3 linked regions of the Rattus norvegicus genome follow. The protein of the gene in region 2 interacts with the protein of the main gene of each other region in a biochemical or structural test. Links are inferred from orthologs where the notes say so. Each region holds a gene or a part of one and is shown on either strand. Other genes may lie near its edges. The genes, in order: Crhr1, Mpdz and Htr2a.

Evidence for each region.
Region 1: the proteins of Mpdz (region 2) and Crhr1 form a complex in vitro, tested with the Homo sapiens proteins (2 studies listed by BioGRID and IntAct, with this or other methods). The link is inferred for Rattus norvegicus from reciprocal best matches to the Homo sapiens genes MPDZ and CRHR1.
Region 3: the proteins of Mpdz (region 2) and Htr2a form a complex in vitro, tested with the Homo sapiens proteins (2 studies listed by IntAct, with this or other methods). The link is inferred for Rattus norvegicus from reciprocal best matches to the Homo sapiens genes MPDZ and HTR2A.

What each region holds. Positions count from the first base shown.
Region 1 is NC_086028.1:89,575,012-89,578,664, reverse strand, and holds part of Crhr1 (corticotropin-releasing factor receptor 1), read right to left. Parts: intron 3,085-3,653; coding exon 2,978-3,084; exon of another isoform or gene 2,913-2,977; intron 2,281-2,912; coding exon 2,160-2,280; intron 1,988-2,159; coding exon 1,834-1,987; intron 1,630-1,833; coding exon 1,569-1,629; intron 1-1,568.
Region 2 is NC_086023.1:100,963,661-100,967,344, forward strand, and holds the start of Mpdz (multiple PDZ domain protein), read right to left. Parts: upstream 2,845-3,684; 5' UTR 2,715-2,844; intron 1-2,714. UniProt on the Homo sapiens protein: Member of the NMDAR signaling complex that may play a role in control of AMPAR potentiation and synaptic plasticity in excitatory synapses. Promotes clustering of HT2RC at the cell surface.
Region 3 is NC_086033.1:56,426,641-56,429,350, reverse strand, and holds the end of Htr2a (5-hydroxytryptamine receptor 2A), read right to left. Parts: intron 1,542-2,710; coding exon 739-1,541; 3' UTR 648-738; downstream 1-647. UniProt on the Homo sapiens protein: G-protein coupled receptor for 5-hydroxytryptamine (serotonin).

The sequences.
Region 1 (3,653 bases), on a different chromosome or scaffold from region 2:
TGGATACCAACCGCAGCTTCTTCGGGACTCCGTTGGAGCGCAGCCCATGCAGAGAAGGTTTCACAGCTAACACTCATTGCAAGATGTAGGCCTGCCTTACAATCCCCCTGAGCTAGCCTCAGGAGTAGGTTGGGACTGGGTACATCAGAAGTCCCACGTTCCTATGGATGGGTATAAGGACTTGCAATGGATGCTGTAAGCCACAATGGGAAGTTAGCATATGTGACCTCCTGACTGAAATGTCAAGGTTTTCTTGTTTGTTTGTTTTTGATTTTTAAACACCATTCAGGTTACACACCACTGTTTACGGACTCCAGACTGGGACCCGGAGCCTCTCAGTTCATCTTCCCCGCTCCTTCTGCTTCACTGTCTGCATTTATCCACCAGAGGGGGCTACAGGGCTGCTCACGCCTAACCTTATAGCGTCCTTCCCGCTCCAGGGTGGGAGCAGGCTCGTTTCTGGGTTTTCCTTCTCTGCCCATCTCTTTTCTTCTCCCATCTCTCCCTCCTGTTCTTTCTGCCCCGTCTCTTGTACTCAATTTTTCATATGCTTCAAAGCACAGGCTTCCCCCATCCAGGAATTCCCAAGAGGATACCACCCCCCGCCCCCAGGATACTGCGCACCCACGGCAGTGAACTGGCTCCCTGTAGTCTGCCGCCTACCCTGCTGCTGCATAAAAAACCCAGCCTGAGGTAGAAAGAACAACCTTCACAAATGTGGATGATATTTTCCCAGGCTTCTCGTGCAGCCCAGTGAGGGGAGGGGAGAGTCTGTCAATGTGAACCCTCCAGTCAGCCAGCTGGGAGCTGGGGATGCTTATGTGTAACCCAGACTGTCTTGCCCGGCCCCTCCCACCTTCTCGGTCTTTCTGTGAAGTTCTAAATCTTCGCTTTACACTGTAACCACCTTGCTACCCAGGCCATGACAGTCCAATAGCATGGAGCCCTGAGGTATAGAACTTTCTAGATCTTCCCCTAAGATCCTTGTGAGGGACGGCTGGGAAGTCCCCCATGTGCAAGGCTGATTCAGATCCAGCTGGAAGAGTCTTTAAAACTACCTGGACTAGTTTTGTTTTTTTTTTTTAACCAATAGAATCTTACTACGAAACACACCTTGATGTTAATAAAAATGTATGTAGCACCTACTGGCTGGCAGGTACTAACTAGTCTATGTGCTTAGTATGCATTGATGCCCTTCATCCCCACTACAGCCTAGAGGTGATAAATAAAATGAAGATGCCCATTTCATGGATGAGGAAACTGAGGCCTGCCATGACAATGAGCTCCAAGGTCACACATAGCCACTCAGTGATGGCACAATCCAGCACCTGGGCTGTGTGGCTTTTGGTATTGCTCTCCTTAAAACTCCAGACAGGTAACAGGCTGGGACCCTGGCTGTCTAGCTCCACCTTCTCAGCAGAGCACTGGAAAAGATCCTAGAATTGAGGCCAGTGCTCTGCTCTGCCTTTGTGGACGCAGAAGCCACTGTCTTTACAGGAGAGACAATGGCCCAAGTCCCCTAGGGAGTGTACTATAGAGCTAGGCTCTGACCTCACAAAGTAGCTTACTTTTCATTGTCGTAGTGCAGCTTCCCAATGGCCCAAGCCACAATGATGGGGAAAGGTACACCTGAGGGAGAAAGCAGATGTCATTGGAGGACCCCAGGTCAGCCAGGGACCCACAGTAGAGCAGGGATTCGTGGGAGTTGAGTTCTGACGCTTCCTGGCAATCCCCCTACTCTCACCCCTAAGAAGAGTTCGCATCCCACCCTCCTGACCCAGCTGGCCCATATCCTCAGTGAGGAGAGGCAGGGGCGGGGCTGGCCCAGCTCACCCCAGCCAATGCAGACGAACATCCACTTGCGCAGACGGTCGGTGGAGTACGTGAGCACAATGGCTGTGTGCAGGTAGCAGCCCTCACCGAACATCCAGAAGAAGTTGGTTACATGGAAGTAATTGTAGGCGGCTGTCACCAACCTACACCAGGCCTGCCCCAACCAGAGATGACAATGAGCTTGGGGGTGTCCAGAGACCCCAGTGTCCAACCCTCAGGCTCCTTGGGGTCCTATTCTTGTTCTGTGGGTACCCGGGCCTGGCCCTTCTACAGGGTCGCCCTCTGACCTAGACTTTGCCTTTTCTGCTTCTCTAGCTGAGACGTACCACATTGCTCTGGTGCACCTCGGGGCTCACGGTGAGCTGGACCACAAACCACGTGGCGTTGCGTAGGATGAAAGCCGAGATGAGGTTCCAGTGGATGATGTTTCTCAGGCACCGGATGCTCCTGGGGCAGCAGGAGAGGGCAGGTGGCCATAGCAACAGGAGGAGAGAGAGGATGAGGGCAAGTGTGAGCATCTCTCCAGCCCAGACACAACAACGGAGAGACTGAAGCTTGGCGTGAGTGGGACTGACGGGCTGGCCTGAACTGCACTGGTCCCTTCCTATCTTGGGCGGCCAAGACATCTGCTCCTGGAAAAGCTTGGTGTGGTCAGGATCCCCTCTCATTCCTCACACCCCAGGATTGAAAAGCAGAGTGCTTACAAACAGGAGAAGCCTCCAACAGCAAAATCCGTCTCGACTTTCAGCTTCTGGTGCTACCCACTAGACACTTTTTCCTGTCACTCTGGCCACAGCTCACTTGAACTTGTGAGAGGGATGCCACTCGATAAAGCCCTCACCTCCAGGGGTCTCCCAAGATGGATACAGACCAGCTTTAGGCATTGCTAACAGCAGGTGAGCCTGGGCTCGTTTCTCCCTACCCTACTTCCCTCAGCAGCTGCTGGGAGAAAGGACAGGCATGACTCTGCAGAGGTCCTAAGAGACCCGAGCTTCACGTAGGTGATACTCTTCTATCCAAATGAGAGATAGGTGACCCTTTGTCAGTGCCCCCACCCCACTGCTAGGCCTGGGTCTTACCCACTGCCCCGCAGTACGCTCAAGGTCCCAGGGGGTGGCGGGTGGCAGTGCCCATGCCTTCTCACCTGAGCCGCAAGAAGAGGACAAAGGCCACCAGGAGGGCTACCAGGGAGATGCAGTGACCCAGGTAGTTGATGATGACTGCAACATGGTAGTGTACTTTGCTCTTCTTCTGAGGGAGGAGAGAGGGCAGAGGTGAGCGTCCTGCACAGCCGCACCTCTGTACCCATTGTACTGAACAGTACCAGGGAGGGGTGCTGGGGAAGAGTGGGCAACAGTAATAGGGTTTGCCCCGCCCCAGAGTGACCCTGTGAGCCACTCACGTGCCACCTTGGAGTAACACCATCCACTTGGGCCAGTCTCTGAATCTGGTCTGTCACGTGTTGCAGACAGATAGGAACTGAGGCTGTATCTAGGTCACACGACGCTCTGTGTCACATTAACACTGTGCACACTTACACAAACACTCAGTGCCCACACATGCCCATGTCTCGCTCTGTCCTGGCTGCACAGGCTCGGGTGGGTGCAGAGACCCCAGCCCTCCAGAATTTTATTTCTTATTCGCTTCTAAACTGAGTTCCCATCTTCCTGGTCACACCCGAATCTGGCTCAATGAGGACTGGGACTTGGATCCCTGACACCCTCATGAAAGCTGGGTGTGGTTATGGAGACTTGTAACTTCAACACGGAGGACCAGAGACAGGTGGGTCCCTGGATCATTGGTCTGCCAGCCCCGCGACA
Region 2 (3,684 bases):
TGCCACACGTGTTGATTGCCGAGCTTGGGAACCAAGGACATCACTTCCTGTTATCACCAGCAGATATATTATAGTTCTCCAGCTGTAGAGTCCAGTACACCAGACTGGAAATGGGATGCCGTTTACTACACACACACACACACACACACACACACACACACACACAGTAGCTATGGAAGAGAGCAATGGGTAGAAGATGCCACAAGAGTCTGGAAGGACATGACAGGAGAGCCTAGGCTGCTTTGAAGGGGACAGTTGGTAAAACAAGGACATTTGGATGACTTTTCTGAGATCACAGATAAGAATGAAAAACACTGGGAAAAACAAAACTCCAGCTCCACATCCATCCATGCTTCCTACCACTTTCCCTTGACCCAAACTTTCGATTCTACTCTAGAAGTCTACAAACTGATATTCCCCTCTAGTTTCTGCCACCCACCTCCTTCCCAACCATTTCACCTACAGGTCTATGCTCTCTTCTTTATGAGAAACACTAACTTACGTTAACAGCAGCAACAACAGCAAAACTATTGTCACTTCATCATGTCAAACAACCTAAGACCCTTTGGCCGCTTTTTCTGAAGACCACACACAAAGGCTTTCTATTGTCGACTGTGATCAGTAAAGACATCAAGCTCCCAGAACACTGTATTTATTTTGTATGCCTCCTTCTGACCCACCTCCAGTCCTGCCACTGCTTAATCTGATGCAACAAGTCTCCAAAGCTTGCTATCTAATTACTGCCTAGCCACCATATTGAGGGCACCTGATTAATTAGCACTGATTTCTCTGCCCACTCTTTCTCCTATGGAGGCCCACTAAAGTTATCTAACTAATTACAATATAACAAATTTGCCATACTAGTTTCTCAAATCTCTGTAAATACTATTCGGTACCCAAAGCTTAAATTTAAAAGAGAAAAATACCTGTCTTATCAGCAAACTGATGCTTGAAACAATTTAACTATATTTACCCAAGGCAATTCTACCAAATGTTTATTTTTACAAACCCACTGAAGTGAGACACATCCCCCGGACAATCTAGCAATCCTGAATTCACTACAAACTCATCTGTTTCTTCGTTCTTGAGTGTAGACCTTCCTCTGGCAGATGGGGTGTTTATTCCACTGTATTTGGAGGCACGTCCAGTACAGTGTGTCAACTTTGCCTCAAAGTATTCGATGAAATTCAGAGTATGTTGACCATAATATAAATGTAAAATATGTAGCCAATCTGCGACTCAACTCAAGTCAAATCTATGAGGACAGACTTGGGATGTACTCGGCAAAATAATCTTTCACTAACTCAGGACAGTTACCATGGAAGCCACTTACTATTGCTCAGAAGCTTCTAGACCCCTCCCAGCTAGTCTTACCTCCAAAACATGTATCCAAGATTTCATACGGAAACCACTTTGCCTACTTTAGTTAAATGTTGAAAGCGCCAAGCACTGAATCAATGCAAATTTGCATTTCTGAAATTATCGCTCTAGAAACCTCCAACCAGCCGGGAAGTATGCTGTATAGACAACCTTTACTCCCTCATGGTGTTCCCTAGTTAGAAAGCATCTGAAATTCAAAGAAACCCCCCAGGGACTCAGACAGGAATTTGGAGCACCCTAAAAACAAACTTAACTCCCTCACCAAGCCTCATCAGGGTTCTGTGGTAAAAGAAGAATGTGGAGGAAGAAAGAAATCCAGAAGAAACTAGAAGAATCCAAGGGAAAAAGAACGCGTGAAAGACAAAGTGCACATATGTGCTGTAATCAATATGTTGAAGAAAAAAAAGTCCCATCAATTTTTGCTTTTTTTGTATTTAAATGGGGTGAGGAAGATAAGACAAATTACAGAGCATCCCAAATTAGCTTTCCTGGATCCTGGAACACATAATAGACCAGGTGCATTTATTCAAAACTTATATTAGAAGTTCAAATCAAAGGCGTTCAAAGTTTAATTTTATTAGAGTTTTAAATGCAATTGCTAATCTGGATTCTATCAGGCTCTAAAACAGTAAGATACTAAGTTGGATAACTTGACCGCTAAGAAATCATCATCTCTGTACAAATTCTACACGCAAAATCCTCCCATACCCCTAGAACCAACCCCCCCTCCTGTGTTCCCAGATTACTCATTTTATAAAGGGCATCCTAAACGAAGGTCTATGGACACACAAAGGTGATGTCGACTGCACAGCTGTCCTACAGCACAGGATGAGGTGACCTGGGCTCAGTTCTCAGATTCATCCCCTCAGGACACTGAAACAACGCCTCCGTGAGGAGTTTTCCCTCTAGCTGGTGAAGTCACCGTCCTCTTATCTGAGGCTAGAAGGAAACCCCAGCCTCCGCCCGCAGGCCTGCCTGTTCGCGGCGTCCTCCCCCAGCAGAGCAGCCCCCTAGCGCCCGCCCAGGCTGCCACCGCCCCCTCCTCCTCCTCCGCCTCCTCTTCCCGGCCGCCTATGACCCGGGAAGGAACTACCCAGTCCCCGAGCCCCTGGAGAATAGCAACCCAGGGCGCACCATCGCGCCCCACGAAGCAGGGCTCCAGCACAAAGCGCCTCCCGCACGCTTCCCCACCCCCACCAGGCCCCGGCCCTCCCGCACTCCCCGGGCCCGCGCACAGCAACAGGCGCGCAGGCCGCGGGGAGAGCACAGCAGGGAGCGCGCAGCCGGGGAAACTTCCAGAGTCTCGGGGGCAGGGCTCGGGCGGGGCCGCTTACCCTGCTCGCCGGCCTGGAGGAGACTCCCAGGGTGGGTAGAGCGCTCGGCTCCTCTCCGCTTTAACCACGGCCCCAAGAGCTCGGTGTGGCGGGAACGCTCACGCGTAGCCAGGGAACTGGAGCCCGCGGCCGGCCAGCCTCGCTGCGCGCCGACCAGGCTCCCGGAGGCCGCCGGGCTGCGGGAAGCCGTGACGCCGGCGGGGCGCGCTGGCCAATCAGGGGCGCGGCCCAGCCGCCGCGGGGATGGAACGACCGGCGCCCGGGCCGGGGCCCGCGTGGTGACGGACAGCGCGAAGGCGGCGGGGCGTGGGGCAGGCTCCTAAATGTGACTTCCAAGGGAAATGCCTTCTTTTTTAAGTATAGCATTTCCCTAATATTGCGCGGGAAATACTTTCTCTCCAGTGTTGTTGATATTTTATCAAAAATAATTGAACTGGGCTAAGAATGCAGTGTTTTATGCTCCCAGCCCCAGTCTCTAGTTGCAGTTCTAGTTCTCGGTGAGAACTGCCCTCTGCATTCGTGGCCTGTGCGAAGTGGCCAAGGGAAGTCCTTGTTTGAGAAATTACTTAGCACATCAAGATGCATTCTTAGCCTGGTGAGCCAATTAAAAGAATCAGCAAACTCCTGAGAAGAGCTCAGAGTTGTCTGCCACTGGAGGTAGTGGTTGGGAGCGGTGGTAGTGGTGGTGGTGGTGGTGGTACATTTCTATTGACCTCAGTTCTGAGTCCCACAATCTACCCCAGCCCTACACCTGTTAAAGAAAATACAGCTCTCTCTTTTTTCTAAGTCTAATATTAGAGTGTGCAATTTAAAACTCTCAGAATTTAGAATTGCGTTATAATTTTATTTTGTCTACTAAAAAGCAATTTGAGAATTTGAGTTTCTCTAACATTTACTAAATATTGAAGGAGAAAACACATAAAATGCACAAGAATGAAAGTGATGCCTTTCAATGAATATGTTTGCTTGC
Region 3 (2,710 bases), on a different chromosome or scaffold from region 2:
AGTGAGTTACCGAACACCTCCAGGATGCTGTTTATTTGAAGCGCGTTCTAGAACTGTACTTGGGAAAGTGGAATTATCCTTTGATACTTTACAGAGAAGAAAAATATACGAAACAAGACCACATTTCAAATTCAGGTAAAGCCCAAGAAGTAGAAGAGAAAGCAGCGTGTTATCGAATAACATTTAAAACCCTTCCACATCTGAGAATTAACGACAAATGCAGCAAATGCTAGCGGTCTTGTGAACATTTCAAAATGGCATCTATGAAAAAGCAAGAATGAAAAATATTGTCAAGTATTTCAATGAATTATATTAGCAATACAAATGTCATATTACTGTCTATTTTTCTTTTCAAAATATATGTCGTGGTGAATTTGAAACACTTTTTTAAGCTATTCATTATTTTCAGTATTTCTAGCTACTTTTATATACAATAATAAGTCACCAACTCACTCCCATGCTACCCATCCACAACATGGCAGCCAGGTTCGTATTTGACAATAGAAGTTACTTAGATGCATTTTATGCCTCATTACAATTGCACAAAAGGCCAATGGTTTTAGAGATCTCATTGGCAATAATTAAAGCATCGTAACACTCCTAGCTCCAATGCTGTCAGGACATTATAGTTGGTCGACTGGAGTAGTCTAATTTGTTGCAGCCTCCTTATCCCCGCCCCACACACATGGGTATAACCTTGTTCACATGCCCTGGGCAATTGCCATAGCATCCAGTTCATCACACACAGCTAACCTTTTCATTCACGGTTTCAATATTGTCTGTACAATTCTCTTCCGACTGTTGTTTCCCCAGTGTAACCATGGAGCAGTCATCAACTGTCTGCTCAGCATCTTCCTGTGAGTTCTTTTTCTGTCCCACCTGGAGCTGACTAGACTTGTAGGCCAATGCTGGTATAGTGTTCACTAAAATTAACTGCAGTGGCTTTCTGTTTTCCTTGTACTGACACTGAATGTACCTTGAGAAGGCGGACCTATAAGTTTTATTGAACAACGTATATACCAGTGGATTGACAGCTGAGGAGAGATAACCAATCCAGACAAACACATTGAGCAGGGCTCCGATGACATTTTCATTGCAGGATTCTTTGCAGATGACGGCCATGATATTGGTGATGAAGAATGGGCACCACATTACAACAAACAGGAAGAACACGATGCCCAGCACCTTGCACGCCTTTTGCTCATTGCTGATGGACTGCATCGTCCTTCGGCCTGCGTAGGAGCCTGGCTCTCTGTGGATGGACCGTTGGAAGAGCTTTTCTGATGACAGAGAACTCTGAGGGAGGAAGCTGAAGGAGGCTAGTTTGGCTCGAGTGCTGAGGTCACTCACACACAAGGTGGCTTCTTTCTGAAGTGACTTGATAGTCAGGAAGTAGGTGATCACCATGATGGTTAGGGGGATGAAAAATGCCACAAAAGAGCCTATGAGAACAAAGTTGTCATCGGCAAGCAGGCAGCTCCCCTCCTTAAAGACCTTCGAATCATCCTGTAGTCCAAAGACTGGGATTGGCATGGATATACCTGGAAGGACAGAAAGTGAGACAGATCAAGGGGCTGAGAATATGAAGTGAAAACTTCACCACATAACACTGGCTGGTCAAGGAATTGAAGCCATCTTACTGTAGGAGTTTAATATATTGCTGCAATGAAAGTTGGGCTAATTGATATTCCATATTGTTCTGATTATATTTTATTTATTAACTGGAGAAAAACACAAAATGGCAAAATGAAGCAAATAAAAATGACCACTAAAACCTCATCAACAGACTAACCGCAAGGGCAGTTTAAGCATGTTTGTTTGAGCATGTATCACACACATGATGCATACAGGAAGGCACTCACCCACGAACGTACCCACCCACGCACGTACCCATGCACGTAGTATGTACCCACGCACTCAGGTGCCCTCGCACGTATGAACCCAATGCACGTACATACCCAGGCACGCACTGGGCAACAGGACGAAGCTCTACTTTATCTACAATTTTTTTGACTTTCCACTTCATATTATATTATCAGCATTCTTTACTTCTTTTGTGAACGTATAAGCCTAACATATTTGCTTTCTAGCAAATTTGAAAAATATGAAAAAGGTAACAATGACTAAAGGAAAATCCCATTTACTCTCGCCACCAAGGTAGGTTACTTTTGTTTGCACAGGACTTTATGTCGCAGTTTTAGATCGTCCTATCTCATTTAATATTTATTATAAAACCTTTGCTAGTTGAGACAGGGTCTTCTACTAGCCTGGGATAGCCTCAAACTCACATCCATCCTGCTTCAGTCGCTTGAGTTATATGAGCCACCATGGCCGGTTTCAAAGTTGGACATATTTTAAACTACTTTTGGAAAACATTCTCTACTGTTAATTTCAAGTAATTCAAAATGAACTTGGGTTAGTTTTTAAAAGTTTTTACTTCAGAGAAATTTTAACATCTGTGAAACCCCAAAACGGACAAAGCCAAGGAAGTCCCTTAGCTTTTACAGTTGTAAATTCAGGACAGATATTGTGTCCTCCAGGGTCCTCACCTGGGACCTCCCTCCTTGTTTTGAAGCAAACCTCAGACTTCATATGACTAAACATGTACACATCTTATTATATAGGTTTGAAAGTGACACCCTTTCAGAGAAACTCACTATCATAGACAGGCTTTCTCCTAAAGGGGAATTTAGTTTCCTTCCACATCATG